Linked DNA regions of Anolis sagrei. The protein of the gene in region 3 interacts with the protein of the main gene of each other region in a pairwise test. Links are inferred from orthologs where the notes say so. Each region holds a gene or a part of one and is shown on either strand. Other genes may lie near its edges. The genes, in order: TRIM42, KCTD9, LONRF1 and EFHC2.

Evidence for each region.
Region 1: the proteins of LONRF1 (region 3) and TRIM42 interact in binary tests that used the Homo sapiens proteins (3 or more experiments, as listed by UniProt). The two-hybrid records come from large-scale screens. The link is inferred for Anolis sagrei from reciprocal best matches to the Homo sapiens genes LONRF1 and TRIM42.
Region 2: the proteins of LONRF1 (region 3) and KCTD9 interact in binary tests that used the Homo sapiens proteins (3 or more experiments, as listed by UniProt). The two-hybrid records come from large-scale screens. The link is inferred for Anolis sagrei from reciprocal best matches to the Homo sapiens genes LONRF1 and KCTD9.
Region 4: the proteins of LONRF1 (region 3) and EFHC2 interact in binary tests that used the Homo sapiens proteins (3 or more experiments, as listed by UniProt). The two-hybrid records come from large-scale screens. The link is inferred for Anolis sagrei from reciprocal best matches to the Homo sapiens genes LONRF1 and EFHC2.

The regions. Positions count from the first base shown.
Region 1 is NC_090023.1:230,542,612-230,550,479, forward strand, and holds the start of TRIM42 (tripartite motif-containing protein 42), read left to right. Parts: upstream 1-4,860; coding exon 4,861-5,243; intron 5,244-7,868.
Region 2 is NC_090027.1:6,177,942-6,185,671, reverse strand, and holds the start of KCTD9 (BTB/POZ domain-containing protein KCTD9), read left to right. Parts: upstream 1-4,716; 5' UTR 4,717-4,792; coding exon 4,793-4,840; intron 4,841-7,730. Other genes in the region: CDCA2 (cell division cycle-associated protein 2), read right to left, coding at 3,946-4,147. UniProt on the Homo sapiens protein: Substrate-specific adapter of a BCR (BTB-CUL3-RBX1) E3 ubiquitin-protein ligase complex, which mediates the ubiquitination of target proteins, leading to their degradation by the proteasome.
Region 3 is NC_090025.1:73,032,595-73,040,163, forward strand, and holds the start of LONRF1 (LON peptidase N-terminal domain and RING finger protein 1), read left to right. Parts: upstream 1-4,557; 5' UTR 4,558-4,850; coding exon 4,851-5,469; intron 5,470-7,569.
Region 4 is NC_090023.1:77,049,196-77,057,118, forward strand, and holds the start of EFHC2 (EF-hand domain-containing family member C2), read left to right. Parts: upstream 1-4,920; 5' UTR 4,921-5,038; coding exon 5,039-5,080; intron 5,081-7,923. UniProt on the Homo sapiens protein: Microtubule inner protein (MIP) part of the dynein-decorated doublet microtubules (DMTs) in cilia axoneme, which is required for motile cilia beating.

The DNA.
Region 1 (7,868 bases), on a different chromosome or scaffold from region 3:
TATGGGCATTGGGAATATATCTGAAAATTCCCTTTTAAAAACCATGTCTCCTCTATAACAAAAGCAGTCTTCCGGTGTTATGTTTTTCCCCCATTCTAGTAGCAAACCTGCGTCACATAGGAAAGTGAAACTGAAACAAGTAATTTCATGAGTTTAAAAATGGAGTAGGTGACACAAAAAAGCACTTCTTTGGAATCACACTCAGCCAACAACAACTTGACCAAAGAAAACAAAAGAAAATTCTCTCTTTCTGTCAAGGTGGCTGATTACTCATATAACCATAATTTGGAGCCAGAACTCAATTTTTTGTCTTGCCCCATTTTTCCAAAGGAAAGAGATAAAAAACTTAATAGAAATACTATGCAAACAAAAAGATATCTTTTGAAACAAAAGCCTATTGGCTATGAGTGCCTCATGTGAACATATAATTTGTAAAAATATAAATGTGGAGATGATAGATAGCTACTAATGGCAATGCACAAAGTCAAATAAAGCTTCCATACTCCATTTATGCTGATTATGAATGGATGAATCTCTTGTACATACATATCAGGTAGGCATGTTCAGAATTATCACACCCCATGAACTTCCAGAATGTGATAAAGCTTTGAGAATATTTTCAAGATTCAAGATTGAAGAAGACAACCAGCATACCAGTACTTAAACAACACTTACTAATTGCCAAAAAAGAGAGAAAGAATTAAAATGGCACTGGCTGACATATAAAGTTACATAACTTAACAGGTCATTTAGGATTCTGGTATTTATTTTTAATTAGTGGTATCCAAACTTAATATAATCTCTGATGAGAATGGATATATTTTTTCTGCTTAGTTTGCCAGAAAATTTTGCTGTCACTGTCCTTATATTAAAGGACCATATTTGTTCACAAAGGCTGTGATGTCGTAATCCTAGTGGGCTAAGGTGGGGTAATCTCCTGACTCTTTAGGGATATGTGAAAAATTGCATGGATCCATCAACCTCACATTCAAAAGCTTTCAGCCAGAAGCCTGTTGGGACCTTCCATTTTTATAAGTGGAGTTACATCTGTGGGAATTAATACTGAACTGTTCTGAAATCTATCATCATCATCATCATCATCATCATCATCATCATCATCATCATCATCATCATCCAAAGCTGCTGTTTTGTTACAATGAAATAGAGTGAACAGATGTTATGTTACTATGTAATAGAATGAGCAAAGTAATGGATGTGCAATGAGATTATGCACAATGGGATGTGGATTGCATATCCCAGCACACATTGCATCAGTCTCTATGCACATTGGGCACCACAGATACACTCTTATTGGTGTCCTGTTAGACATATTTCCTATTCAATAAAGGGATTTCTTAAGATCCCTGTAATGTAGCTAGATACAGGCAGTCCTCAAGTTACAAACAAGATAGACTCAAGTTACAAACAAGATAGTTTATTCTTAAGTTGAATTTGTATGTAAGTCAGAACAGGTACATATTGTAAGTGTAACTCCAGCCATATATACACAAGATAGGTTCTATAAGTTTATTCTTAAGTTGATCAGTTAGGATTCTAGTGTTCATTTTTAATTAGTGGTACTCAAAGCTTACAGAAAGGAGGATGGATGTAATTTGCTGCCTAGTTTGCCAGAAAATCTTGATAGTTGCTTTATGTATGGAACCACCATAAACAATCCATGGGAAACTGCTTGATTCCAGGTCAGATTATTTTATTGCCTATCCAAAATAGTTCCCCATAATCTATCTCTCAGAAAAGACAAAATAAGATAAGCGAAAATATATTTTTAGGAGCAAAAAATGAAAAATGTGAAACAAAATGGGATAATGTCATATGTTTGGGGGAAAAAACCCTACAATTTAAGCAGTGTTCTTTCTCAAAATATTTCATCAATTTTTCCCTGAGATCCAGAATTGTGTAATTGTTTAAGCATTGGACTATGATTCTGGAGACAAGAATGCACATCCCTGCATGGTCATGGAAACCCATTGGCTTCATTTTATGGTTGCCATAAGCTACAAATGACATGAAGGCACACAACAAACACATTTTTCCCATGTGAACTTTTATCTGTATCTTGGGGATAAGTGGGAAATCAATTATTGACTTTGTCCTTTTAGATTTAGGCTCAGAACAAAAATGGCTTATTTTCCCTGGCAGTGGCTCCAAATGCTTTCAGGAGATTAGGTTATTTGCACCATTCTCTCCTTCAGTTGGAAATGTCAAGGATTCAATCTGAGAACATTTGAATTCAAAATCAGGACTGGCTCTACAGAGAGTTACCTCAGATGAGAGAGGCTGTGAGGCAGCAGCAATAAGCTGGTTTCTAAGCAGCTTGGGTCAAAACAGCTGGAAGATAATTAGCCTGCCCTGTGTTCTGCAAAAATTGCTTCGTTCACATTCAACAAAATAGGATCAATAAATCTTCAGGACAAGTCAATTGATCAATATTCAGTAATTATAGTGGAGCCCTGGTGGTGCAATGGGTTAAACCTTGAGCCGGCAGAACTGCTGACTGAAAGGTTGGTGGTTTGAATCTGGGGAGTGGGGTGAGCTCCTATCTGTAACTCCAGCTTCTCATGCAGGGACATGAGAGGAGCCTCCCACAGGATGGCAAAACATCTGGATGTCCATTGGGCGACATCCTTGCAGGCAGCCAATTCTCTCACACCAGAAGTTACTTGCAGTTTCTCAAGTTGCTCCTGACATTAAAAAAAGTAATTATAGTACCTTCCTAGATCATAAAATATGAACAATGATAGGTTAGAAACCTCTCCCAAATCCTGGGTTCCAGCATATTTCCAAATATCCTATCTTGCAAGCATCATAGTAGACCCCAAATTTCTTTTCAAATCTTTGCTGGATGACATTAGGAAAATGTGCTCCCCCCATCACTGTTTGATGGTAAGCAATTGCTTCGTTCTATTGCTAGGCATGGGAACAAAAATAGCATTATATTAGCATAATCAGATCCCTGATTATCTGCTTATCCCAGATTATCTGGCAGTGTAGATTCATATAATCCAGTTCAAATCATATAACTTGGGTTCAGATCCTGGGATACAGAGCAGCATAAATCTAGCCCTAAAGATGATTCAGCCAATAAAATTTAACACAAAGTCTCACTCAACTGTTAATAGGCCCATGGCCCCAAAATAAGAGAGAATAAGGTTTTTAAACAGTGTTTTAGTTTGCTCTGTTATTATATTTTTAACCTGTACTTTGTTTTCAGATGCCATTGGTAAAGTTAATTAATGCATGTACTAAAGGTATTCCTCAGATCCACACTGCAAGAAGACAGCTTCTATTCTAGAAAGCTTGGAAGCAATAGCTAGGTGACCTTATTAGGGTTTCCATATCTTAAAGCTTATTTACTCTTTATTTATTTATTTATTTATTTGCTTTATTTTTATACCGCATTTTTCAGCCTAATTCGGCGACTCTTTTCTAGATATGAGATTGAGGGGAAGGAATCTTGGGGTTAAACAGGTGTGTGTTTGTATTTTCTTCATTTGTTAGACCATTTTTCAAAATGAATTGCATGTTCTGTTCTTCTACTGCTGTTGATGCTTGATATATCATGCATAATGATATCACCAGTCCCTGTGTCCTGTGACATCAACATGATGTCATCAGTAACTCTCAGGTTCTGGACCTGAGATTTCAGGGATACTATCAGGGGTAGTAACCTTAGTCTTCACAGATGAAAATATAGAAAATGGAGCCTTTTAGTCCACTTTAGTCTCTTAATTTCCATGGGTTATTGTTTCCTAGAAGTCCTGCTAGATGGACATATTTTCCAGTCTTTTAGTATTAATTTGATACTTGTATATTGTTCAGAAATAATTCAGACAACACCCAGAAACCCAGCTCTAATTACCAAATGATCTCATCAGAAGCTCACAAACCAGTTTATGAGTAGCATCTGTAACGGAAATATCAGTTGCATGTTAAATGCAGTAGTATTATGCAGCAATTCCTGAAGCACTCACAAAGACTGTCTTTTTGGTTGGAATGACTGATAATGTCTTATGCCTGGTAGCCAGAGAAATATAATTCATTATATCAGTATCAGTTATAAAGAAAAAGAAATGTTAATCAATCCAGTTTTCACCCAAAACAATAACTGTAACCCACTGTAAGTATCCAAAGACGACTCTGTGGAGCCAGCGTAGACAATTGAGATTGCCTAGACATGTATTTTGTAAGACAAGAGGAGACATTGTGTTGGCACATAAGAAATAGTTAGAGCAGCAATACAATACTGAGTTCTTATTGTATTTTAATGTTTCCAGTAAATGTGATATTTTGTCTCTCAGTCTAGTGATCACATGCACTGTTACCCAGAATGAACATGCCCTCATCCTCAGAATCATGACTTTACTTTAATTTCTGATTGGCTCAGAAGTAGAGTATTTATAGCTCTAATATTTCTGTTTCTTTTATAATAACAAAACATTGGCAAAACAATAGAGAATACTAAATCAAATGATAGCCAAAATTAATGTATTTACATAAATCATGTCATTTTAAGATTCCATGCTGACATCATCCTGTTGACCAGAGAAAGTGCAATTTTTATCAGAGTAATACAATGATCCTCATTGCATTATTTCTTGTGCAGTTTAGTCATATGAACATATCAGTGCAGGAATCTCAAGTGCTTTAGTCATTATGACATACATTATGACACTGCTTTCATTGGTAAAACCCATTGTGATGCCACATTTTCTTCCCAAGTGATCAGTATTTTCTCCAGAGGTCCAAAATAAAGTATGGGGCAGTTGCTCTGCAAACATAAACAGCAAGTAAAGCTTTCTAGGACTAAAAAAAGGGAAACCTTAAATATCTGGGAAGACCATGACTGCCATGAGCTGTGCATGTTGCTGGACATGCCCATGTTGCCCAGGTTGTAAATGTTGTGGATTCTGCATCAAGTTTCGAGACTTTGTGAATAATATAACCTCTGGCAGATGCTGCTCTTGTTGGCTGTTCTTATTTAGTGATGAGCGGCAGTGGGACTGCTGTTTTTGCCCACATCGTGAAGATTCAAGGTGCCAGTGCTGCCACTGTTCATGCTCGGAGAATCCGAATTGCCGCTGTTGCTGTTGCTCCTGTTCTACTAATCGAAATTGCAAGTGTTTGTGCTGTACAGATGCAAATACTGAGTGTCAGTGTTATGACAGTAGATGCTGCAGTTATCTCTCCTATTTGCCATATAGGCGTAAACATAAACTGAAAAGGTAAGTGTTGTAAAACTAAAATGTTAAGGATCACAGTCCTGTACTTGTACACTTACATCAGGGTGTTACTCCATCAACCCCAGTAATGACTATCTGACTGACAGCACATCTCAAATGTTTCAAGTAAATGACCTTTTGGAGTGAGGTGTGTGTGTGTGTGTGTGTGTGTGTGAAGGCATTGCTCCCTCCATAAAAATTCCTTCAGTTTTCAAACTTCTAGTATTGGTAATTAAAACTTTAGTTCAGTATTTAGTAATGGAGTTTAGGCATTCAAAGGAAAGGGGCAGCCAAAGTTAACCAGGGAATGCAAACACAGCAAATATAAGGATTCTAGGCTCAAACAATTTCAGTGTCTAACTTATTGCATGGCTGGAATTTATTTTGTTGTGCCTTCAAGTCATTTTTGTCTTATGGTGACCTAAAGTTAACTTATCAACTTTTTTTGAGATTGAGTGTCTGGCTCATCCAAAGCCACTCAGTGAGTTTCTATGGCTAAGAGGGAAATTGATCTCCAGTCTTCAGAGTCATGGTCCAGTGCACACACAACTACAGTGGAAATTTTCATGAAGGGGCAGAATTCTTAGTGGGAGGCAATGTCTCAATTTTGCATACGCACAGAGTCATTTTGTTACACCTCTGAGTCTTTACCATCATTAGGCATTCGATTTGAAATCAAAACCAATCTGGAGTTGCTGTGGACTGAACTTGAGGCATACAGCATGCAAAATGGAATTTACATATGAGCATGGACAAAATAACTTCTTCAGAAGGATTTAGTATACATTCAGAGCCTGGGAATGGGATAGTCAGCTTTTTGAGCTCTAAATCCCAGAATGCCCCAGGATTAAAGAAATGCTAATTGCTTCTATACATGGAAAGAATGATAAGGAGAGGACAGGACCAAGATGTAAAGCACACACACTGTTTTTCATAAAATTGGATGTTGGGGAGGCTACACTTTGCTAACAAATATACATATTCAAAATCAATGTCAAAATTAAAAATATATTAGTGAAATTGAGGGCCACTTACATAAAATGAGATGTGAGTGAATGATAAGATTATAAAATTCAATAATCCTGATCCCAGTCATGGATGTTTTATATTTTTTAAAAAAAAATCCACACAACTTTTAACTGAAGGAAACTTTTGAAGAGGGATTTTTCTGCCTTCCCAGTTCATGAAGACAGTAATCAGGTTTATTCAGCAAAACCTATTTTGTAGTGAAGTGCTTGATATGATCCTTTATTACTGTCTCCATTCACTTTTAGAAAATAGATTACTTGGTTTAACCCACTTTTTACAATTCTCAGTTTTAAACCATGGCAAACCAAGACTTAAGAACAGTTGCCAGTGGCAGTGCTGAATAGTACTTAAAAGATGGAAACCTAAGCCCATTTCATTTCAACTTACTGGATGCTTTAGGCAACTTAATGTTAACCCTCTTTCTCTGCTTGAGAAATTAGTTGTAGGTATTACCTGAACTCCACAGGTCAAAGTTAACCTCCATTTTTTAGAGTTCCCCTATCTATTTTTTTATTAACTCACACAATGCACAATAAACAAGTCAGATTTTATGTTATTTGGGATCTGTTGGTCCAGGACCAAACCCATTTATATCAATAACAGCTTCATCATATTGTTGACAAGCTCTGACCTCATCAAAGCTTGGAAAAGTTACTGCATTGGATGGAAGCTCCCCGCATCTCCATACTAGCTCAGGGATTCACCATTCAACCAAGTAATTTTTCTATGTTCTACAGCTGATATATGAACTCTAGACTAGGACTTCTTTGGGGAGATGGGGTGGGATATAAATAAAGATATTTTTATTGTTGCTATTATTAAATTTTTCAACTTCGGACCCCTTTTGGCCCAAGACAATTTTACATGATCCTGGGTATATAAGTATATAAAATAGGTAAAAATATCAAACATATATGGATAACACAACATCATTTTTAAGTGGGTTGTTGTAGGTTTTTTCAGGCTATATGGCCATGTTCTAGAGGCATTTTTAAGGCTTGCTGCCCCTGGTGGTGCAGTGAGTTAAAGCACTGAGGTGCTGAACTCGCTGACAAAAGGTCACAGGTTTGAATCTGGGGAGCAGCATGAGCTTCCACTGTTAGCCCCAGCTTCTGCCAACCTAGCAGTTCAAAAACATGCAAATGTGAGTAGATCAATAGGTACCGCTCCGGTGGGAAAGTAACAGTGCTCCATGCAGTCATGCCGGCCACATGACCTAGGAGGTGTCTACAGATAATGCTGGCTCTTCAGTTTAGAAATGGAGATGAGCATTGGACTTAATGTCAGGGGAAAACCTTTACCTTTAAACAGTTTTTAATGAAGCATCTTATGTAGAGTCCATTGTAAATGCTGGACAAATTTGTGTAAATTTCTAAAACAGTAACTAAATGGCAGTCAGAAAATTATTACTGTTGCCAGTTTTTGACGACACCAACATTGAGTTAAAGGGATCTTATTTGGGGTTGTGATCCACAGTTTAAGAAGTCATATTCTAGACCAGTTTTTACTTGTACAACTAGTAAAGAAAACTATCTCCTTCATTCACCAATAATTTGACTTTTAAAAAATAATTCTGTTCTGAAAACTTGTATGGTATTT
Region 2 (7,730 bases), on a different chromosome or scaffold from region 3:
CCAAAATTTTCAGTTAACACTGTTGATGCAGTGAATGTTAATGTAACAGAAGCTTAAGATAAAAGGTGGCCAATGTAATAATAAGGTATTTTACAACCCAAACCAAAGAAGAAGACTGTTTGGCCCTCCAGATTGTTATACTATACTTGAAATCCCATTTTCCTTCACCACTGGCTATATTGGATTAAAAATCTCTAAAATCAGGACAGTAAATAAAGAACAACACTCAGAAACAGGGGAATTCCAGACAAGAAACCATCAAGGCAAGCTAATCACCTTCCAACAGTATCTGGAGGCGATTGGAGTAAACTAGGGGTGACGCAGATATCTGAAGTAGCTTGGGATTGTGTAATAGCTGGTCTATTTTAACCTTCATTTTTAATTTTTGTGGTATGAAATTTTATCTTTACCTTCCAACAAAGGATCCCCCCAGGCAGGAAGGAACCAGGCTTTGAAACTGCAAGGCCATTTAATGCTAATCAAGGTGATCAATTGCAACATTCACACTTGCCTCCAACAGATAACAGTTCTTTTTCCAACCTTTGAAATTGTTCCATAGATATATAAACCTCACTTGCCTAGTTTCCATCAGGCCTCACAACCTGAGGATTCCTGCACTAGATATGGATGAAACATCAGGAGAGAATGCTTCTGGAACATGGCCATACAGCCCAGAAAACTTACAACTCAACATTATGTGGCTTACTCACACATGCCTCCAAAATCATTCATGGCTACCCCTTAAACCGTGGTTCTCAACCTTCCTAATGCCACAGCCTTTTTTTAATACAGTTCATTATGTTGTGTTGACCTCCAACCATAACATTATTTTTGTTGCTACGACATAACTGTCATTTTGCTACTGTTATGAACTGTAATGTAAATATCTGATATGCAGGATGTATTTTCATTCACTGGACCAAACTTGGTATAAATACCCGATACGCCCAAAGTTGAATACTGGTGGGGATTGATTTTGTCATTTGGGAGTTGTAATTGCAGAAATACCTGATACACCCAAATTTGACAGACCACCTGTCTGTCCTGTTTTTTCCTTTCTTTTTGTTGTCTTGCTTTCACATTTGCTGACAGAAATCTAGAGGTGTGTTTGCGTGTGTGTGTGTTTTTGTCATTTGGTAGTTGATAGGATTTATAATTCATCTACAATCAAAGAGCATTCTGAGCTCTACCAATGATGGAATTGAACCACTCTTGGCACAAAGAACTCCCATGACCAACAGAAAATACTGGAAGGGTTTGGTGAGCATTGACCTTGAGTTTTAAATAAATATTTGTTTATTTATTTAAAAGTTTTATATACCGAGCTTCTCACCTCATAAGACGGACTCAGCCCGGTTTCCAACCATAAAAACACATACAATCGGTAAAATATCAAAATACACATTGCAATAAAACATTTAAAAAGCACATATATTTAAAACTACAGTGGTCAGTCGTCATACTAAAATCGAATATACACCGTCTTCCATGCAGATCATTGTTTCATTCTTCGAAAGCCTGCCTCCATAACCACGACTTCACCTGTTTCCTGAATGTCAGGATTGTTGGGGCAGTTCTAACCTCTGACGGGAGAGAGTTCCAGAGTTGCCGGGCCACTACCGAGAAGGCCCTGTCCCTCGTCCCCACCAGCCACGCATGTGAAGTCGGCAGGACCGAGAGCAGGGCCCCTCCAGACGATCTTAGTAATCTTGATGGTTTGTAGGGGAGAATACATTCAGAGAGGTAAACCGGGCCGGAGTCGTTTAGGGCTTTATAGGTTAACACCAGCACTTTGAATTGTGCTCAGAAACTAATTGGCAGCTAGTGGAGCTGGTGTAACAGCGGAGTGGTGTGCTCCCTATACCCAGCACCCGTTAGTAATCTGGCTGCCGCACGTTGTACTTGCTGCAGCTTCCGGGTAGTCTTCAGAGGCAACCCCACGTAGAAAGCGTTGCAGTAGTCTAAACAGGATGTAACCAAAGCGTGGAATACCGTGACCAAGTCAGCCTTCCCAAGATACGGGCGCAGCTGGCGCACAAGTTTTAGTTGTGCAAATTCATCCAGAGAGCACTGTGGACTCAAACAATGATGGATCTGAACCAAACTTTCATGGATACTCAATATGTCCAAATGTGAACACTGGCGGAGTTTGGGGAAAATAGACTTTACATTTAGGAGTTGTAGTTGCTGGGATTTATAATTCACCTACAATCAAAAAGCATTCTGAACTCCACCAATGATGGAAATGAACCAAACTTGGCATATAGAACTCCCATGACCAACAGAAAATACTGGATGGGTTTGGTGGGCATTGACCTTGAGTTTTGGAGTTATAGTTCATCTACATCCAGAGAGCATTGAGGACTCAAAAATGGATCTGGACCAAATTTGGTACTAATAATCAATATGCCCAAATGTGAACACTGGTGGAGTTTGGGTAAAATAGATCTTGACATTTGAGAGCTGTAGTTGCTGGGATTTATAGTTCACCTACAATCAGAGCATTCTGAACCTCACCAACGATAGAATTGGGCCAAACTTCCCACACAGAACGACCAACAGAAAATAATGTTTTCTAATCATCTTTGACAACTCCTTCAGGTCCCCCAGGTTGGGAAACACTGCCTTAAACACACACGACACAGACTGCCATATGATTTCTTTAAAGTATTGTCGAAGGCTTTCATGGCCGGAATCACTGGGTTGTTGTAGGTTTTCTCGGGCTGTATGGCCATGTTCTAGAGGCATTCCCTCCTGATGCTTCGCCTGCATCTATGGCAAACATCCTCAGAGGTTGTGAGGTCTGTTGGAACTAGGAAAACAGGTTTATATATCTGTGGAATGACCAGGATGGGACAAAGAACTCTTGTCTGTTGGAGCTAGGTGTGAATGTTTCAACTGACCACCGTGATTAGCACATAATGGTCTGACAGTGCCTAGAGCAAACTTTTGTTGAGAGGTGATTAGATGTCCTTGTTTGTTTCCTCTGTTGTTGTGCTGTTGTAATTTTAGTTTTTTAGTACTGGTACCCAGATTTTGTTCATTTTCATGGTTTCCTCCTTTCTGTTAAAATTGTCCACATGCTTGTGCATTTCAATGTCTTCTCTGTGTAGCTTGACATGGTGGTTGTGAGAGTGGTCCAGCACTTCTGTGTTCTCAAATAATCTGCTGTGTCCAGGCTGGTTCATCAGGTGCTCTGCTATGGCTGACTTCTCTGGTTGAAGTAGTCTGCAGTGCCTTTCATGTTCCTTGATTCGTGTCTGGGCAATTTCAACAATTTCAACAGAAAGGAGGAAACCATCAAAATGAACAAAATCTGGCTACCAGTATTAAAAAAACTCAAAAATTACAACAGCACAACAGCAGAGAGGAAACAAACAAGGACATCTAATCACCTCTCAACAAAAGATTGCTCCAGGCACTGTCTGGCCATTATATGCTAATCAAGGTGGTCAATTGAAACATTATGGAGCCCCCGGTGGCGCAGTGGGTTAAACCCCTGTGCCGGCAGGGCTGAAGACCGACATGTCGCAGGTTTGAATCCGGGGAGAGGCGGATGAGCTCCCTCTATCAGCTCCAACTCCTAATGCGGGGACATGAGAGAAGCCTCCCAAAAGGGTGATAAAAACATCAAAAATCATGCAGGCGTCCCCTGGGCAACATCCTTGCAGACGGCCAATTTTCTCACAACAGGAGTCACTCCTGACACGACCAAAAAAAAAAAAACCTGGTACATTCACACCTAGCTCCAGCAGACAAGAGTCCTTTGTCCCACCCTGGTCATTCCACAGATATATAAACCCTTTTTCCTAGTTCCAACAGACCTCACTACCTCTGAGGATGCTTGCCATAGATGCAGGTGAAACGTCAGGAGAGAATGCCTCTAGACCATGGCCATATAGCCCGGAAAAAACCTACAACAACCCAGATTTCTTGGAACATTACCTTCCGTTTGTTTTGTAAACGACTCCGGGGTAATGCCAAAATCAGCTGCTTTCAAGGTAGAGAAATCTAGCGGCGTCGCGGGGCTTTCAAGGCCTGGTTTTGGTCCTAATCCACTCTTGCGAGGGGTCCAATAAGTGGGCCTTTCCACGGCGTTGGGGCCCTTCGGGGAGGCGCCTGTCTGCTGTGTAGACACACTTGCCATTGTGGCCTTTAGCCGCCAACAACAACAACAGGCCTCATTAAAGCTTCTTCAACACAAACACCTTCTCCCTTCACTCGCCTCAGAGCGACTGCCTTTTCCTCGCGCTTTCCATTCAAACAAGCCTCTTCCCTCGCGATGCAATTACGTATCCCTCCGCCTTTTCTCCAATAAGACTCTTTGTTATTCTTATTCCCGACTTCCCTTGAATTCTGGCCAGTTTTGTGTCTCACGTGACCAAAACTCTCCCACGTCTTTCCTCCAATGAGAAGAGGCACCGCCCACATCCCAGGGACTACTTTTCAAGGAGAGCCGGCCACGCGGAAGCGTCGACATCGTTAACCGACAAACGACCGTTGGTAATTCAACGTCATAGGATCAACAACCAATCAGAAGCGGCGCTCCTCTTCCCTATGCAAAGTAGCCCCTCCCTCAGCTGGAAAAACATTGCGCTCTGATAGGCTCCCGCTGGAGCTGTTCTAAGGCGAAAGTCCCGCCTACAATGTGCATCGCAGTTCCTATTGGGCGAAGGAGAACGAGGCTTGCTGCGGATTGGTGAATAGGCTGAGTCAGGGAAAGAACTTCGGCTTCCGGGTTTGCAACCCAGGCGGGGAAGAGCATGTCACTCTGAGGGAAGAAGGAGAAGAGATGAAGAGAGTCACCCTGTTTGTGAATGGCAGCCCCAGGAATGGGAAGGTGAGCTCAACAAGAACTGCGGGTGATGGCTCTGCTTTCAGGAATGTTATCTGCTAATGGCATGGTTAATCCTGACTTTCCTCCTCCTAAGGTGGCAGGCACGAGTCTCCCTCACTTCACAACAGCCCTGTGAGGAAGGCCCAGGTCTCAAGGAATGGCAAGGTCATCCAATGGAGACCTCAACCCTTTTCCTCTCTCAACTTTCATTCCTGTATCACCAGTATACAATATAATAATACTAATAATAATAATACAATATAGTCATGTATATTTACATTACATGTAATATTACTAATATTACAGTATAGTGGTATAGTACGATATAGATACACCACACCTCACTACCTCTGAGGATGCTTGCCATAGATGCAGGCAAAACGTCAGGAGAAAATGCCTCTAAACAACCATTGTTGTTGTTGTTCATTTGTTCAGTCGTCTCCGACTCTTCGTGACCTCATGGACCAGTCCACGCCAGAGCTCCCTGTTGGCCGTCACCACCCCCAGCTCCTTCAAGGTCAGTCCAGTCACTTCAAGGATGCCATTCATCCATCTTGCCCTTGGTCGGCCCCTCTTCCTTTTGCCTTCCACTTTCCCCAGCATCATTGTCTTCTCTAAGCTTTGCTGTCTCCTCATGATGTAGCCAAAGGACTTCAGCTTTGTCTCTAGTCTCCTTCCCTCCAATGAGCAGTCGGGCTTTCTTTCCTGGAGGATGGACTGGTTGGATCTTCTCGCAGTCCAAGACACTCTCAGGACTTTCCTCCAACACCACAGCTCAAAAGCATCTCTCTTCCTTGGCTCAGCCTTCCCTACGGTCCAGCTCTCACATCCGTAGGTGACTACAGGGAAGACCATGGCTTTGACTAGGCGGATCTTTGTTGCCAGTGTGATGTCTCTACTCTTTACTATTTTGTCGAGACTGGACATTGCTCTCCTCCCAAGAAGGAAGCGTCTTCTGATTTCCTGGCCACAGTCTGCATCTGCAGTCATCTTTGCACCTAGAAATACAAAGTCTGTCACGGCCTCCACGTTTTCTCCCTCTATTTCCCAGTTGTCAATCATTCTTGTTGCCATAATCTTGGTTTTTTTGATGTTTAGCTGCAACTCGGCTTTTGTGCTTTCTTCTTTCACCTTGATTAGAAGGCTCCTCAGCTCCTCCTCGCTTTCGGCCATCAGAGTGGTGTCATCTGCATATCTGAGGTTGTTAATGTTTCTTCCAGCAATTTTCACCCCAGCTTTGCATTCCTCAAGCCCCGCACATCCTCGCATGATGTGTTCTGCATACAAGTTAAAAAGGTTGGGTGAGAGGATGTAGCCTTGCCGTATGCCTTTCCCAATCTAGAATCAGTCTGTCGTTCTGTGGTCAGTTCTTACTGTTGCGACTCGTTCCTTGTACAGATTCCTCAGGAGAGACACAAGGTGGCTTGGTATGCCCATCCCACCAAGAACTTGCCACAATTTATTATGATCCACACACTATATATGCACACAGATATATATACACACGCATATATGCATATACACACAAAGCACATACACAGAAAGGGGGAAGGAAGGAGAGAAGGAAGGAAAGAAAGAAGGGTAGAGAAGGAGGGATAGAGGGAGAGAAGAAGAGAAGGAAGGAAGGAAAGAATGGTAGAGAGAGAAGGAGGGAGAGAAAGAAGGAGAGAAGGAAAGAAAGGTAGAGAAGGAAGGAAGGAGAGAAGGAAATAAAAAAGTAAAAGAGAAGGAAGGCGAGAAGGAACAAAAGAGAGAAAGAGGAAGGAAAGGAAGGAAGGAAAGAGACAAGGATGGAACCAAAGAGCAAAGGAAGTGAGAAAAGAAACAGGTAGAGAAGGAAGAAAGAAGAAGGGAAAGAAAAGGAGAGAGGGAGGGAGGGAAGGAAGAAAGGAGAGAAAGAGGGAGAGAAGGTCGGCCACAGAAACATGTGGCGGGTACAGCTAGTATATAAATAAAAATGTAATGTTCCTTTGTGGGATTAACATAATTTGGATACAATACGCCTATCAGGCCAACGAGTGACTATCATAAAAACACTGAAAAACACAGAAGAAGGGACTTAAAAAGCAAAAATGCTATACCACATGCGCAAAAATGACTCCCCTGGCAAACAAAATGCACAATAGCCACATTCTCTTCTGGACTACAGTTCCCAGCATCCCCTAGACCAGGCCCTTTAGGAGAGGAGGATGATCCAAATGCACTGCTTCCAGGTTGCAAGCTTTCTTCTCCTTGGATTTCTTTGAGAGCATCCCAATCCCTGCATATTTCCAATTTCCTATTCCTGGACTACAACTCCCAGCAATCCTCCAGATAGATAGATTAGATAGAGCTAGATAGGTAGGTAGATAGATCAATCAATCAGGAGGAGTGCTGGGAGTTGCAGTCCAAGAATAGGTTGAGAAGGAAGAAAGGAGAGAAAGAGGAATTGAAAAAAAAGGTGGGCGGGGCAGAAGAAAGTGAAGAAGAAGAGACAGAAACAAAAAAGGGAGGGAAGGAAGGAGAGAAAGAAAGAAGAGAAAGTGGGAGGGAAGGTTGGCCACAGCAACACGTGGCAGGTACAGCTAGTAGTAATATATAGCATTAATATTGTGCTGTGCTAATAATATAATATATTGTATACACATATAAATGTTATAGTGTAATACAATATAATGCCAATAGTAATACAAGATAATGTTATATTTCATATTACATATAATATTACTAATAATATTACAATATAGTCGTATAGTACAATATAGTAATATATAATACTAATATTGTGGTATGCTAATAATATAATGTAATGTATGTACATACAACTTGTAAGCCGCTTTGAGTCCTCTTCTGAGTGAGGGTAGCATATAAATATTGTAAGTAAATAAATATAACTATACTGCCTCGGTCAGGG
Region 3 (7,569 bases):
TGTGGATTGTATACAGCTGTGTGGAAGGGGCCTAAGGCTGGATTCTACTCTGCCCTATATCCCACAATGTGATCCCAGATTATCTGCTTATTCCAGATTATATGGCAGTGGGGATTTATATAATCCAGTTCATGGTTTATAACCTGGGATCAGATCCATGGATATAAGGACAGTGTAGGTGCATCATATAATCCAGTTCAAAGCAGATAATCTGGGTTTGGATCATGGGATATAGGACAGTGTGCAGATCCATCCTAAAACTTTACTGGTTTTAGCTGTCACGCTGATGTTTAGCTTGTGATCTATCACTCATGTTTGGCTTCTAATCTATTAAAACCCCAGCTCCTTTTTTAATCTACTGCTGTCAAGTACTGAGTATTTCATTTCTCCCCTAAATGGAGTGTATTTATTTATTCTCCTTGGATTTCTTTGAGAGCATCCCATTCCCTGCCTATTTCCAATTTCCTAGTCCTGGACTGCAACTCTCCACACTACGCCTCTGTTGTGTCAGCTCCACTGTCTGCTAATTTGCCACCGAGCATAATTCAAAGTGCTGGCTTTAGCCTATAAAGCACTAAATGATTCTGGCCCAGATTACCTGTTCAAACGTATCTCCTCCTATGAACCATCTAGGAACTTAAGATCGTCTGGGGAGGCCCTGCTCTCGATTCTGTCTGCCTCGCAAGTGTGATTGGCAGAGACGAAAGACAGGGCCTTCTACGTGGTGGCCCACCGGCTATGGAACTCCCTCCCCAGGGATATTAAATCGGCCCCCTCCCTCCTGACTTTCTGAAAAAAAGTAAAGACCTGGCTCTTTGAGCAAGCTTTTTGAGAATGCAGCGAAATAGATAACACAGAACTATGAATGATGAACATGGAATGGCCAGACAATGTTACTGGATAACGTTTTTAGCTGGATGACACCAATGATTATATGCTTTAACGGTTCTTATATATGTTTTATATTGTAATGTTGATTGTTTTTAATGGCACTTTTATAAATGCCTGACATTGAATTGTACCAATCTGTAACCCGCCTTGAGTTGCCATATGGCTGAGAAAGGCGCGCTATAAATATAGTAAATAAATAAATAAACTCCCAGCAATCCTCCAGATAGATAGATAGATAAGATAGAGATAGGTAGGTAGGTAGGTAGATTGATCAGGAGGACTGCTGGGAGTTGCAATCCAAGAATAGGTAGAGAAGGAAGAAAGGGGAAAAAGAGGAGGGGAAAGAAAAAGTGGGGGGGAGGGAAGAAGAAGAGAAGGAAGGAGAGAAAGAAAGAAAGAAAGAAAGAAAGAAAGAAAGGGTTGGAAAGAGGGAGGGAAGGAAGGAGAGAAAGAAAGAAGAGAAAGAGGGAAGGTTGGCCACAGCAGCGCGTGCGGGGGGGGGGGGGGTACAGCTAGTATTAATATATTTTTTGAGCCTAGTTGCATTGCCCCTTTAAAAGGCAAACCTGAAACCTCCAGGACCTGTTGCCAATGAGACTGAGAAGCGAGGAGATGGAAATACAATCGATTTTATTTGCAAGAAGGTCTGATGGTAGCAGTGAAAAACAGGTCCCACACTAAACGAATCATGCATGAGGCTTTTATAGGATTTGCAAGTATGTTCCACACTTTCATATATTTCCCTTCACATTTCTCTTTCCCTTTGTTCCTGTTCCATATGGTACTTTGATCTGGTGTTTACCAAAACAATTAAAGTGAGTAATTTCCCCAGTTTCCTGATTAAAGGTCATTCAATCCATCAAATACCATTTGGACTTCATGAGACCTATGTGAACTTTCTTCCTTTCCTTTAATGCTCCATTTGGTATGTTTTGTTGTTTGATCTTTCTTCCTTTGTTACATCTAAGGCTATTGCATTTGTCAGCCGTCTATCACCTGGTCTTTCTTTTTCCCTTTAATGTCTTACAACTTCCATTTGGTGTGTTTTTCCGTTTAGAAAGTTTTCCTTCTGTCCCTTTGTGTCCCTAACCCTAACCTGGACCCAGATTTTAATTGGCGTGTTTTAACAACTGTTTAATGCTTTGTTTTAATGAATTTGTTGATTGTTCATATCATTATGATGGCACCAAATGGCGTTTGCTGTGAGGCCGCCCTGAGTCGCCCCTCGGGGGGTGAGAAGGGCGGGGTATAAGTATATGAAACAAATAAAATAAAATAAATAGGACAATTCCATCATAAGAGAATGGGACAGAGAATCATAGTTAGAAGAGACCTCGTGGGTCATCCTGTCCAACGCCCTTCCAAGAAGCAAATAAACCGCATTCAAAGCACCCCTGACAGATGGCCATCCAGCCATCTGTTTAACATGAAGTATAAAAATTAAGAACACTTAATAAAAAACATTAAAACCACATGATCCAAACTCGTAGACTGGATCATTGCAGATGTCGATTGCACATATTCCATATATACCCCGCCTTGAGCCATCAGGAGAGGTAATACCTAAAATGGATTATGATTCTGTGTAGCACTTTGTCCTCCAAAGCACTTTACATTTTTTAGGTCTGCTTGTATGTTTTCCACAAACGCCCCATCACTTTTTCACCCATGTTCCAGCATTACTTTCAATTTTAATTTTACATTTGGCCTTCCCATAGTTTTTAATCGTGTGGTCTTATTGTTAATGTTGCATTATTGTATTGTCCATGTTTTATTTTAATTGCTTGTATTGTTGTATTTGGGCTCGACCTCATGTAAGCCGCACCGAGTCCCTTGGGGAGATAGTAGCGGGGTACAAATAAAGTGTTATTATTATTATTATTATTATTAATAATAATAATAATAATAATGTCGAAGGCTTTCATGGCCGGAATCACTGGGTTGCTGTAGGTTTTTTCGGGCTGTATAGCCATGTTCTAGAGGCATTCTCTTCTGACGTTTCACCTGCAACTATGGCAAGCATCCTCAGATCTCAGAGGTCTGTTGGAACTAGGAAAAAGGGTTTATATATCTGTGGAATGACCAGGGTGGGACAAAGGACTCTTGTCTGCTGGAGCTAGGTGTGAATGTTTCAGCTGACCACCTTGATTAGCATTTGATGGCCTGGCTGTTGTTTGGTGTGGCTTGTTAGTGCCTGGAGCAATCTTTTGTTGAGAGGTGATTAGATGTCCCAGATTGTTTCCTCTATTGTTTTGCTGTTGCAATTTTAGAGTTTTTTTTAATACTGGTAGCCAGATTTTATTCATTTTCATGGTTTCCTCCTTTCTGTTGAAATTGTCCACATGCTTATGGATTTCAAGGTTGCCATTCATTTTCCGGACCCAATTCAAGGTGCAGGTTCTTACCTACAAAGCCCTGAACGGTTTGGGACCCGCCTACCTGCATGACCGCATCTCTGTATACGAACCCACACGATCTCTTGGTTCATCTGGAAAGGCCCTGCTCACGATCCCACCTGCATCGCAGGCATGATTGGTGGGGATGAGAGAGAGGGCCTTTTCGGTGGTGGCCCCCGACTCTGGAATTCACTTTCTAAAGACATCAGTCAGACTCCAACTCTGGCAGTCTTTAGGAGGAGCTTGAAGACATGGCTGTTCCAGTGTGCCTTCCCAGAATAATGATCCCATAGCACTTTGTCCTCCAAAGAACTTTACTTTTTAGGTCTGCTTGTATGTTTTCCACAAACACCCCATCACTTTTTTGCCCATGTTCCAGCATTACTTCGAATTTTAATTTTACATTTGGCCTTCCCATAGTTTTTAATCGTGTGGTCTTATTGTTAATGTTGCACTGTCAGGGGTGATTTGAATGCAATATTCCTGCTTCTTGGCAGGGGGTTGGACTGGATGGCCCATGAGGTCTCTTCCAACTCTTTGATTCTTGATTCTATGATTGTATTGTCCATGTTTATTTTAATTTGCTTGTATTGTTGTTATTATTGCTTGTATTGTTGTATTTGGGCTCGGCCTCATGTAAGCCGCACCGAGTCCCTTGGGGAGATGGTGGCGGGGTACAAATAAAGTGTTGTTGTTGTTATTATTATTATTATTCAAGGTGGTCAGTTGAAACATTCACACCTAGCTCCCGCAGACAAGAGTCCTTTGTCCCACCCTGGTCATTCCACAGATATATAAACCCCTTTTCCTAGTTCCAACAGACCTCACTACCTCTGAGGATGCTTGCCATAGATGCAGGCAAAACGTCAGGAGAGAATGCCTCTAGACCAGTGGTTCTCAACCTGGGGTCCCCAGATGTTTTTGGCCTACAACTCCCAGAAATCCCAACCAGTTTACCAGCTATTAGGATTTCTGGGAGTTGAAGGCCAAAAACAGCTGGGTACCCCAGGTTGAGAACCACTGCTGTAGACCATGGGCATATAACCCGAAAAAACCTACAGCAACCCAGATTATGATTCTCATTAAATTGGGAAGAACAACAAAAGCCAGGCAGCCAACCAAACCTTGGGCCACGTGGCCTTGTTTTATAATTTCGCCCGCCACGCCCCTTACTCCGTCTAGCCAATCGGAGGCCAGCTTGCGCGGGAAAGGGGTGGATGACGTGTGGTTTTATGTAAGCCTGTGGCCTCGCTCGGGATTGTCTCGCGCGCCGGCGAAAGGGAGGGGGGAGGTGGCGAGGGAGAGGGGATCTGTGTTGAGAGAGCTTACCTGCTCTGTGAGAAAAGTGGCAACGAGGGAGAGGCGAGTGGGCGGAGCTTGCCGTGCGCGCGCAGGGGCGGTTGAAGAATTGTCCCACAAGGGGCGGGGGGAGGGGTTGTTTGACAGGAGTGCGCAGGCGCGCCCAGCTCCACTCAGACAGAGTTGGGAGTTTGGAAGGAGCGTCTCGAGCGGCGTCGTCGTCGCGTGCCACACGCCCCCTTTCCCTGAGAGGAGGAAGGTCTCATGGCGTCTCCTTCGATGGAAGTTCCCTCAGAGCCCGGCGTCCCGTCGGAGCAGGAGCGGCTCCTTCGACGAGGAGAGCGCCTGGCGTTAGGCCACCACCTGAAAGAAGCGCTGGAGGCCTACTCGGCGGCGCTGCGCCTGGGCCCGCCGCCTATGCCGAGTTGCCGCCGCCGCCTCAGCACTTTGGTGGACTGTTTGGTGCTCCATTACCGTCTCCGGCAGAAGGAGGAGGAGGGAGAGGAGCAGGAGGAGGCCGCGGAAGCCAAAGAAACAGCCCCGCCGCCTGAAGAGAAGCGGGAGGAGGAGGAGGAAGAAGAAGAAGAAGGGCTCTTCCGCTGCTCGGGCTGCCGCGGGTTCTTGAGCGAGCCCGTGACGGCTCCCTGCGGGCACAGCTCCTGCCGCCGCTGCCTGAGCGAGGAGCTCCGCGCCCGGTGCCGCCGTTGCGGGGAGCCTCTGGGGTTGCTTCCCGCCTCCGTCACCGTGGCTCTCCGCCACCTGGGCGAGAAGTGGTTCCCGGCCGAGTGCGAGAGGGCGCGGGCCTGGCGGCGCCTCGGGCAGCTCCTGGCACAAGGGCGGCCCCGGGAAGCCCTGCACGCCGCCAGCCGCGGCCTCGCCGAAGGTAAGACGCCGGGAAGGGCCATTCGCGCTGCAGCCAACCCTCGCACCACCCAGGCTCCATCCAGAATCATAATCATAATCTTTGTCGAAGGCTTTCATGGCCGGAATCACTGGGTTGTTGTGGATTTTTTGGGGGGCTATATGGCCATGTTCTAGAGAGCAATGGTTCTCAACCTTCCTAATGCCGCCACCCCTTAATACAGTTCCTCATGTTGTGGTGACCCCCAACCATAACTCTAACATTATGAATCGCCATGTAAATAATAATCTGCAGGTTGTACATTCATTCACTGGAGCAAATTTGGCACAAATACCCGGTATGCCCAAATTTGAATACCAGTGGGGTTGGCAGAGGGGGATTGATTTTGTCATTTTGGAGTTGTAGCTGCTGGGATTTACAGTTAACCTGCAAACAAAGAGCATTCTGAACCCCACCAACAATGGAATTGAACCAAAGTTGGCACACAGAACTCCCAGGACCAATAGAAAATACTGGAAGGGTTTGTTGGACATTGACGTTGAGTTTGGGAGTTGTAGTTCACCTACATCCAGAGAGCACTGTGGACTCAAACAATGATGGATTTGGACCAAAGTTGGCACGGATACTCAATATACCCAAATGTGAAGGGTTTGGGGAAAATAGACTTTGATATTTGGGAGTTGTACTTGCTGGGATTTATAGTTCACCTTCAATCAAGGAGCATCCTGAACCCCACCAATGATAGCAAAGTAAATAAATAAATAAATAAGTGGGCCAAAGTTCCCACACAGAACCCCCATGACCAACAAAAAATACTATATTTTCTGATGGTCTTTGGCAACCCCTCTGACACACCTTCGTGACCCTCCCAGGGGTCCCGATCCCCAGGTTGAGAAACACTGTTCTAGAGGCATTCTCCTGACTTTTTGCCTGCATCTATGGCAAGCATCCTCAAGAGGTAGTGAGGTCTGTTGGAACTACGAAAGGGGGTTTATATATCTGGAATGTCCAGGATGGGACAAAGAACTCTTATCTGTTGAAGGCAAGTGTGAAGGTAAGAGGATCCCTCTTGTCCTTTGCTGAATGTAGCATTTGTTAAATTTTCTTAGTGGGTCTGTAGATAGTTTGTATGTTGTGTTTCCTCATCAGCTTCCCTATGTGGTTCTTGATGTATGGCAAGAACACTTTTTCTCTGGGTAAATCTTTGTCTTTAGTTTCATGGCTTGTTCTCGGTCTTGCAGCTCTTCTGATGTCTGAGGTGGAGTATCCATTGGCCTGTAGAAGCCAGTTTAGGTGGTTCAGTTCATCTTGGAGGAGGTGGGGTTCGCAGATTCTTTTTGCACGGTCTGCCAAAGCTTTAATGGAGCTTCTTTTTTGACCTGGGTGGTGGTTGGAGTTTTTATGTAGATATCTATCTGTGTGTGTGGGTTTTCTGTGAACGGTGTGACCCAATTGTTGATCTGGTTTACGGATGACTAGGACACAACATACAAATTACCTACAGACCCACCAAGAAAATCTAACAAATGCTACGTTCAGCAAAGGACAAGAGGGATCCTCTCACTTCTGTGGGAGCCTACCGTATACCATGCAGCTGTGGACAAGTCTACATAGGGACCACCAAACACAGCATTGCCCAAACACAAATCAAGGAACATGAACGGCACTGCAGACTACTTCAACCAGGAAAGTCAACCATAGCAGAGCACCTGATGAACCAACCTGGACATGGCATTTTATTTGAGAACACAGAAATGCTGGACCACTCTAATAACCACCATGTCAGACTACACAGAGAAGCCATTGAAATCCACAAGCATGTGGATAATTTCAACAGAAAGGAGAAAACCATGAAAATGAACAAAATCTGGCTACCAGTATTAAAAAAACTCTAAAATACAACAGCAAAACAACAGAGAGGAAATAAACAAGGACATCTAATCCCCTCTCAACAAAAGATTGCCCCAGGCACTGCCAGGCCATCAAATGCTAATCAAGGTGGTCAGTTGAAACATTCACACCTAGCTCTAGCAGGCAAGAGTTCTTTGTCCCACCCTGGTCATTCCACAAATATATAAACCCTTTTTCCTAGTTCCAACAGACCTCAATACCTCTGAGGAT
Region 4 (7,923 bases), on a different chromosome or scaffold from region 3:
TGCTCATGGAGATTCACATTTGCCAAACGGGTGTGACATCATTTTTTTACCTTTTCAATAATAATAATAATAATAATAATAATAATAATAATAATAACGTTATTTATACCCCGCCACTATCTCCCCAAGGAGACTCGGGGCAGCTTACATGAGGCCACACCCATCAATACAGAAAACACAATATAACGCAAAAACACAACATAAAATCAGAAAATAAAATAACAAAATACAAAACCAATGTAAATAGGCAACACAACAATATGGAATCAAAACATTAAAACACTAAAAATAATCAAAGTGGGCAGGGCCAAATTCAAAGATTAAAATTTTAAAACACTGGGAGATAGGGCAGTGTAAAATATCAGGAAAGGGATCTGGGGGATACAGTAGGATTTCATTGCACAAACCAGAGAATAACGTGCTTCTGAGGACATTTTATGCAGAGTTTGGTCAGGGATTATCATACATTCAGTCATTGCACAGCCATGTTTTCAGGCTCTCCCTAAAAAAATTCAGGGTGGGAGCTTGCCTAATATCTCTGGGGAGTGAATTCCAGAGTCGAGGTTATGGTGCACTTATTTCCAATAGGTTATGGAATTTCCAATATCAAAAACTATATTATTTAATTTATCATGGAAAATCAGGTCCCAGGGTTTTTCCACTGGTTCATCTTCATGCTCGTAAAATTCCTGTGTAAAGTAACAGTTTCAAGCTTTGCTCTTATATAGTACATGAATCATACCAACTATAGCTGAGGACATCAAAAACAGCAGAAGGCATGCCTTCCGTTCATTAGTAAAACAGAGTTGGCCACTGTTTGCTTGTAGGTTACTAAGTTAAATGAAAAATGACAGCCAGTAAAGAGAGGCATAAGCCATGATTAGCATTTTGTCCGCTAGTTAAATATTGGATTTGATCCAGTACAATGGATCAAACATGACTACTGAGTCAGGCTTCACGTCCCAATGTCTTACAGTCTGACATAACCTACTTTTCCAGTAAAAGCAATCTCATAGAGGAAAAGAAGGGGGGGGGGGGGGCAAATGGTTTGCATAACCTCAGATCTTTAGAAGTTCTGTATTCTTTTTCTTTACATTCAAATCACGAAGGGAAAAGGAAGCATATGGGCCTGAACGAATAACATGTTTTTGCAATATGTTAATTGTTGCAATTATGACGTTTACAATCTCAGTTGTAATTTTGTTACTAAATTAACAAAACTGTACATCCTTTCTTTCTTCTGACAGAAAAGAGAACACATTTTTATTTTGAACTAGTTTGGGTACCCAGTGTTGCCTGGGTTATTTGAAAAAAGTCATTTTTAATTGTACAAAATGCTTAAAGTTATGGGTGAACTACTACTCAAGTCATGCCAGGTTAACCCTGAAAAACTCCATCAGTACTTAAAGTTTGTTATGTTGGGCAAGTTTGTCCTAAGGTCTAACTTGATTCAGAATTGAGAATATCTGGGAAATATCTGAAGACAACTTGATGACAGCGAGCTTTCCTTTTTACATGTTCAAAGTTTGGCAGAACTGTCCAGCAATTAGGTTATGGCACCAAGAGGTCTTTTTAAGGCTGGTTTTGTGGATTTACTATGGTAGAAACTTTGGTAGGTCACATTCTATTTCATCAAGTACCTGAAATGTTGTCCTTATTATACAAACAGTACGTACAGAGGCAATAACATAAAACAAAGCAAAACCCACAAGTGTACCCAGATGGAAAGGAAACAAAGATCTTGTAACAATTCAATCTGAAGTAGAACTGGACATAGTGCCTTTATCCACAAACCCAGCAACTCAGTGGTTTAACCGACTGCACCACTGGGGTATCATGTCTCTAATGCTGGAGATAATAAAACAGCCATTATCAGTGTTACTCGAATGTCTTCTTAAAGTCATCAAAGCCTCATGGTAGGAAATTTTATAATTTAAGTAGTGCATGGTATGAAATGGTGCTTCCAGATAATCCTGGTTCTGGGACTATGGTATGAGAGAGCTGCAGAGGAAAACACCCCCCCTCCCCCTTACAAAGGTTGCCAGGAAAATCTTGTGTTAGGGTCACCATCAGTTGAAAATGACTTTTCAAGGCACACAACAACAATAGGTCCAAGGTCCTTGAAGTAGTCAGTTGTTGTCATAGTTACAAGTTTTGTATTTTCTCTCAAGGTAAATAGCATGGTTCTTTGGCGGGAAGGGGCACCTCACTCCATTGGTCTCTGTTCCCACATTGCAAAGGATGAGCTGGCTCTGAAACACTGTGACACGCCTCCATCCCATTGAGTGAGGCCACTTGTAACTATATAATTACTTTAAATATTTTTGGCACAACAAAAAGAGACAGAGTTGGCATTTGCTTCAATTACAATACACTATAATTTAGCTCAGTGTCTAACACTGAATCTATATATAATTCTAGATTAATTGGTTTCATTATTAATAACAATAATGAAACCAATTCTTTAAAACTGGGGCCCCTTCCTAACAGCTGTATAAAATCCCACATTATCTGCTTTGACCTGGGATATATGGCAGTGTGGATACAGATAACCCAGTTCAAAGCAGATATTGTGGGATTATCTGTTTTGACATTCTCAGTTATATGGCTGTGTGGAAAGGCCCTGGATCTCAATGCAGTAACGATGGTCTCTTCTACACAGCCAAATAAAATCCCACATTATTTGCTTTGAACTGGAATATATGGCAGTGTGGACTCAGATAACCCAGTTCAAAGCAGATATTCTGGGTTATAAAGCTGTGTGGAAGGGCCCAATGACCCCTTCTATGCTGCCATGTAAAATCGAGATTATCTGCTTTGAACTGGATTATATGGCAGTGTAGATTCATATAATCCAGTTCAAAGAAGACAATGTGGATTTTCTGCTTTGATTGTCTGGATTATATGACAGTGTAGAAGGGCCAAAGTCTAACTGAAATCAATTCCTTTGAACTGGAACTAATTATAGTAACTAGGGCCCCTTCTACACTGCCATATAATCCAGATTATCAAAACAGATCATCCCCGGTATCTGCTTTGAACTGGATTATCTGGGGGCCCTTCCACACAGCCCTATATCCCAGAATATCAAGGCAGAAAATCCCATCATATCTGCTTTGAACTGGAATATATGGCAGTGTGGACTGGTTGTTTTTCATTTTATTTATTTATTTATTTACCTTACTTATATACCGCTGTTCTCAGCCCGAAGGCGACTCACAGCGGTTCACAACAAATACGAACAGCAAAAATTCAGTGCTACAGTATAGAAACAGTTAACAACCTAACACATTACACAATTAATAAACAGTTACTACAATACCCATTCACTGTCGTCTCGCCATCAAAAACATGTTCCAGATTCGTCATCCATTGTTCCATTCCAGTGTTCATTAACCAATTTTCACACTTTTATACCATAAGAAGGGGCGGGGAGGGGGGGGAGGGGGAGGCCAAGGAAAGTATAATAGGTTAGTTATGGAGTTAGTAAGTTAGGTGTATCCATAAGTCTAATGTACTTCCAAGGATTTATTTTATTTATCGTGTCATCAGCAACCAGACCATTGTATTACATTTCCAACAGAACAAAACAGACAAACAGATAAAAAAACAAAAATTTTGCAAACTTGGTAGTTGATTAAATGTCCTTTGACCAGTATCTGGCCGCTTGGAGTGCTTCTGGTGTTGCCTCATCCAAGGATGAGGAAGGAGAGGGGATTGTTAAACATAGATTTGTATTTAAAACCATTCCATTCACTATGTCTTTTGCTTAGGAAAACCAAAAAGAATTGGTGGCTTGCTGTGAGTTTTCCCGACTGTATGACTATGTCCCAGAAGCATTTTCTCCTGGCGTTTCGCCCACATCTACGGCAGGCATCCTCAGCGGTTGTGACCTCACAAGGCAGATAATCCACAATATCTGCTTTGAACTGGGTTATCCGAGCCCACACTGCCATATATTCTGATTCAAAGCAGATAATGTGGAATTTTATTCAACCGTGTGGAAGGGGCCGAGGTCCATACTCAGATAATGTGGGATTTTCTGCCTTGATATCCTGGGATAAAGGGCTGTGTGGAAAGACCCTTAGCTTATACTAACATATAATCTAGTTCAGGGGTCCTCAAACTAAGGCCCGGTGGCTGGATGTGGCCCTCCAAGGTCATTGACACAGCCCTTGCTCAGGGTCAACCAAAGTTTGAAATGACTTGAAAGCATACAACAACAACAACAACAACACCAATCCTATCTCATCAGCCAAAAGTAGGCCCATACTTCTCACTGAAATACTAATAAGTTTATATTTGTTAAAATTGTTCATCATTTTAATTATTGTATTGTTTTTAAGTGTCTTTTGCACTACAAATAAAATATGTATTCATTAGTGTTTTTTTCCCCCAAATTATAATCCAGCCCTCCAACAGTTTGAGGGACTGTGACCTGGCCCTCTGTTTAAAACGTTTGAGGACCCCTGATCTAGTTCAAAGCAAATAATCTGGATTTTATATGGCAGTGTAGAAGGGGGCTAGGTCTAATTAAAGGTAACTACTTTGAACTAGATCGAATTGTAGTAAGTAGGGCAGAGGGTCTAAATCAGGCATGGGCAAACTTCCTCCCTCCAGGTGTTTTGGACTACAACTCCCACAATTCCTAACAGCCTACTGGCTGTTAGGAATTGTGGGAGTTGTAGTCCAAAACACCTGGAGGGAGGAAGTGTGCCCATGTCTGGTCTAAATGCCAGTGGGATGGTGCTCTCTCCCTGCAGCTGTCATGTAGAGCTTCTGATCCAGCTCCTCCACTCAGGTGAAGTTCCAATGGGCTGCCTTGCTTTCTGGAAAGCCGGCGCGGCGTGCAGTGAGGGCCACGTGACTGCAGGGAGCAGCAGAGGGCAGGAACGCCCCTTCCCGGGCCGTCCTCTGTGACGTCGGGCGGCGGTTGCCTGGCAACGGGGCTCCAAACAGGCCCCGGGCGCGCCTTGCGGGCCCAGCGGGTTCGGGCGAGAAACACCAGCCAGCCCCGGTCGGCAGCAGGCGTGCCGCCATGGCGCTCCCGCTTCTGCCCGGGAACTCCTTCAACAGGAATGTAAGTGGCCTCGCGCGCTCGCTCGCGCTGCCGCCCTGCTCTCCCGGGGAGGGGGCCCAGGTTCCTGCCCTTCTCCTTCTCTCCCTTTCAGGTCGCCTCTCCGTTCCTGGGCTTCAGAGAGTTCTCTTGGGCCAGGAGGGGCTTGGCCAGGCCCTCCCTCTGAAAATTAGCCCCACAGCACGTGGTGTTCGTTGGTGGTCTCCCATCCAAGCATCAACCAGGGCTGGCCCTGCTTAGCTTTGGAGATCAGGCTGCATTTGGTGCCTTTGAACCAATTAGGCCAACATCGTTCATGACTACCCCCTTTCTCCACATTTAGGACACACATTCAAAGGTAGCTGTGCTCCTCATGCAGAAAAATACACTGGGCCCCTGGTATCTGCCCTTGGTATTCAGCATCATTAAATTGATATGCCTTATATGAAAGGGAAGAATGTATGGCTTGCTATTAGTTTCTGTTTTTAAAATATACAAACCATGGATGATGGAATCCAAGAATGCAGAATCTGTGGATATGGAGAGCTGACTGGAAAACAGAATCTACAGAAAGGGATGCCTTTATTGACAAAATGCACAAAATACTTAATGCAAGCTTTCAATAATAATAAACTTTATTTGTACCCCGCTACCATCTCCCCAAGGGACTCGGTGCGGCTTACATTAGGCCGAGCCCACAATACATCAATACAAGCAACAACAACAACAACAAAACAATTAAATAAAACTCATCAACAAAAAGCAGTCTACAATGACAGTAATACAACACACATTTAAAATCTATGGCTGGGCCAAATGTAATTAAAGTTAAAAATAATGCTAGGCATGAACAAGATAGGAGAGATTGGGCGTTGGTGAGAGCGTACAAACAATCCTAAATCAATGAAAAGTGCATTTAGAGGGCACAATGCTGAGAGTTCATTATTCTGGGAAGGCACACTGGAACAACCATGTTTTCAGGCTCCTCCTAAAGACTGCCAGAGTTGGGGCATGCCTGATGTCCTTGGGAAGTGAGTTCCAAAGTCAAGGGGCCACCACTGAGAAGGCCCTCTCCCTCGTCCCCACCAATCTCGCCTACGATGGAGGTGAGAGCGCAAGCAGGGCCTCTCCAGATGAACGAAGAGATCATGTGGGTTCGTAAACAAAAATGCGGTCACTCAGGTAGGCGGGTCCCAAACCGTTCAGGGCTTTGTAGGTAAGAACTTGCACCTTGAATTGGGACCGGGAAATAAATGGCAGCCAGCGGAGCTCCTTAAACAGGAGGGTTGACCGCTCCCTGAAAAGAACACCAGTTAACAATGTATTGTCGAAGGCTTTCATGGCTAGAATCACTCAATTCTTGTGGGTTTTTTCTGGCTATATGGCCATGTTCTAGAGGCATTTCTCCTGACATTTCGCCTGCATCTATGGCAAGCATCCTCAGAGGTGAGGTCAGCATCCTCAGACCTCACCTCTGAGGATACTTGCCATAGATGCAGGCGAAACGTCAGGAGAAATGCCTCTAGAACATGGCCATATAGCCCGAAAAAACCCACAAGCACCAGTTAACAATCTGGCCTCCGCCTGATGGACCAACTGAAATTTCCGGGCCGTTTTCAAGGGCAGCCCCATGTAGAGCGCATTACAGTAATCCAATCTGGAGGTGACTAAGGCATGGACCACCCTGGCCAAATCAAGGCATCTTCACCAGGCAAAAAGGACATTTAATCAACTACCAAGCTTGCAAACTTTGTGTTTGTTTGTTAGTTAGTTTAAAATGCAATACAACTGTTTGGTTTGCTCCTGACATGATAAATAAATAAATACCAAGCAAAAGGGATTCAAAACAATCATACCGAAGAATAAAAGAAAAAGAGGTGATGTTGGAGTCACAGGCAAACCTTTTGCATCTGATAACGTTTCTGTTGTTCAATTGGAACAGTGATTCCCAACCTTTTTCTTGACCAGGGACCACTTTGACCAGGGACTACTCTCCAATATTAGTACCAAAAGGGTTACAAATCAGGTTTTGGCCAGCTTTATATTTGATTTGGTTCTTTGGGTTGCTGATTCGGAAAATCGTATGAGATTGACCACATCAGCTCTAGTTTCTGATACAGAACATACACCATCCAGTAGTTGTCATCTGCTTGCCCACAGAAAACCATATTTAATAATCTAGAGCTGATGTGGTCTATCCAATGCAATATTCTGAATCAGCACCCCAAATAACCTCAGGAACAGGCCTAAAATGAAGACACCAAGGCATCCCTGCTTCCAGGCACCACACGGAACAGCTCCGCTTAGGAAGAGGGAGGAGGAGTTGAAGCAGCAGTTGTGCCTTTCCTGGGTAGTCTCCCCTTCCAACATCCCTGTTGCCTCAGCACTATAAGAGGGTTTTGCGAGACCAGTCGCTTTTGTTGCAACAGTGACGGTTCTTGCAGACCACAGGTGGTCCACGAACCACAGGCTGGAAACCAGTGGTCTGGAGGGGTCTCAGTACAGGCAGAGGTCCTTTCTCTTTTTTGATCATGTGGGGAATAAGGCAAAGGTCAGAAAATGTTACATTCCATCAACAGTTCCTTCTTTAGGCACCAGGATGCCTCTGGGTGCATCTATACTGTAGATTGAATGCATACTGACCCTACTTTCACTGCCATAGTTCAATGCTAGGGAATCCTGTAATTTGGTGAGGCACCATCACCAGGTAGAAATGGCTATTGGCTAAAGACTTTGGGCCTTTCCACTCAGCCCTATATCCCAGAATATTGAGGCATAAAATCCCACATCTGATTTGAACTGGACTATATGGCAGTATGGACTCAGATAACCCAGTTTAAAGCAGATATTGTGGGATTTTCTGCCTT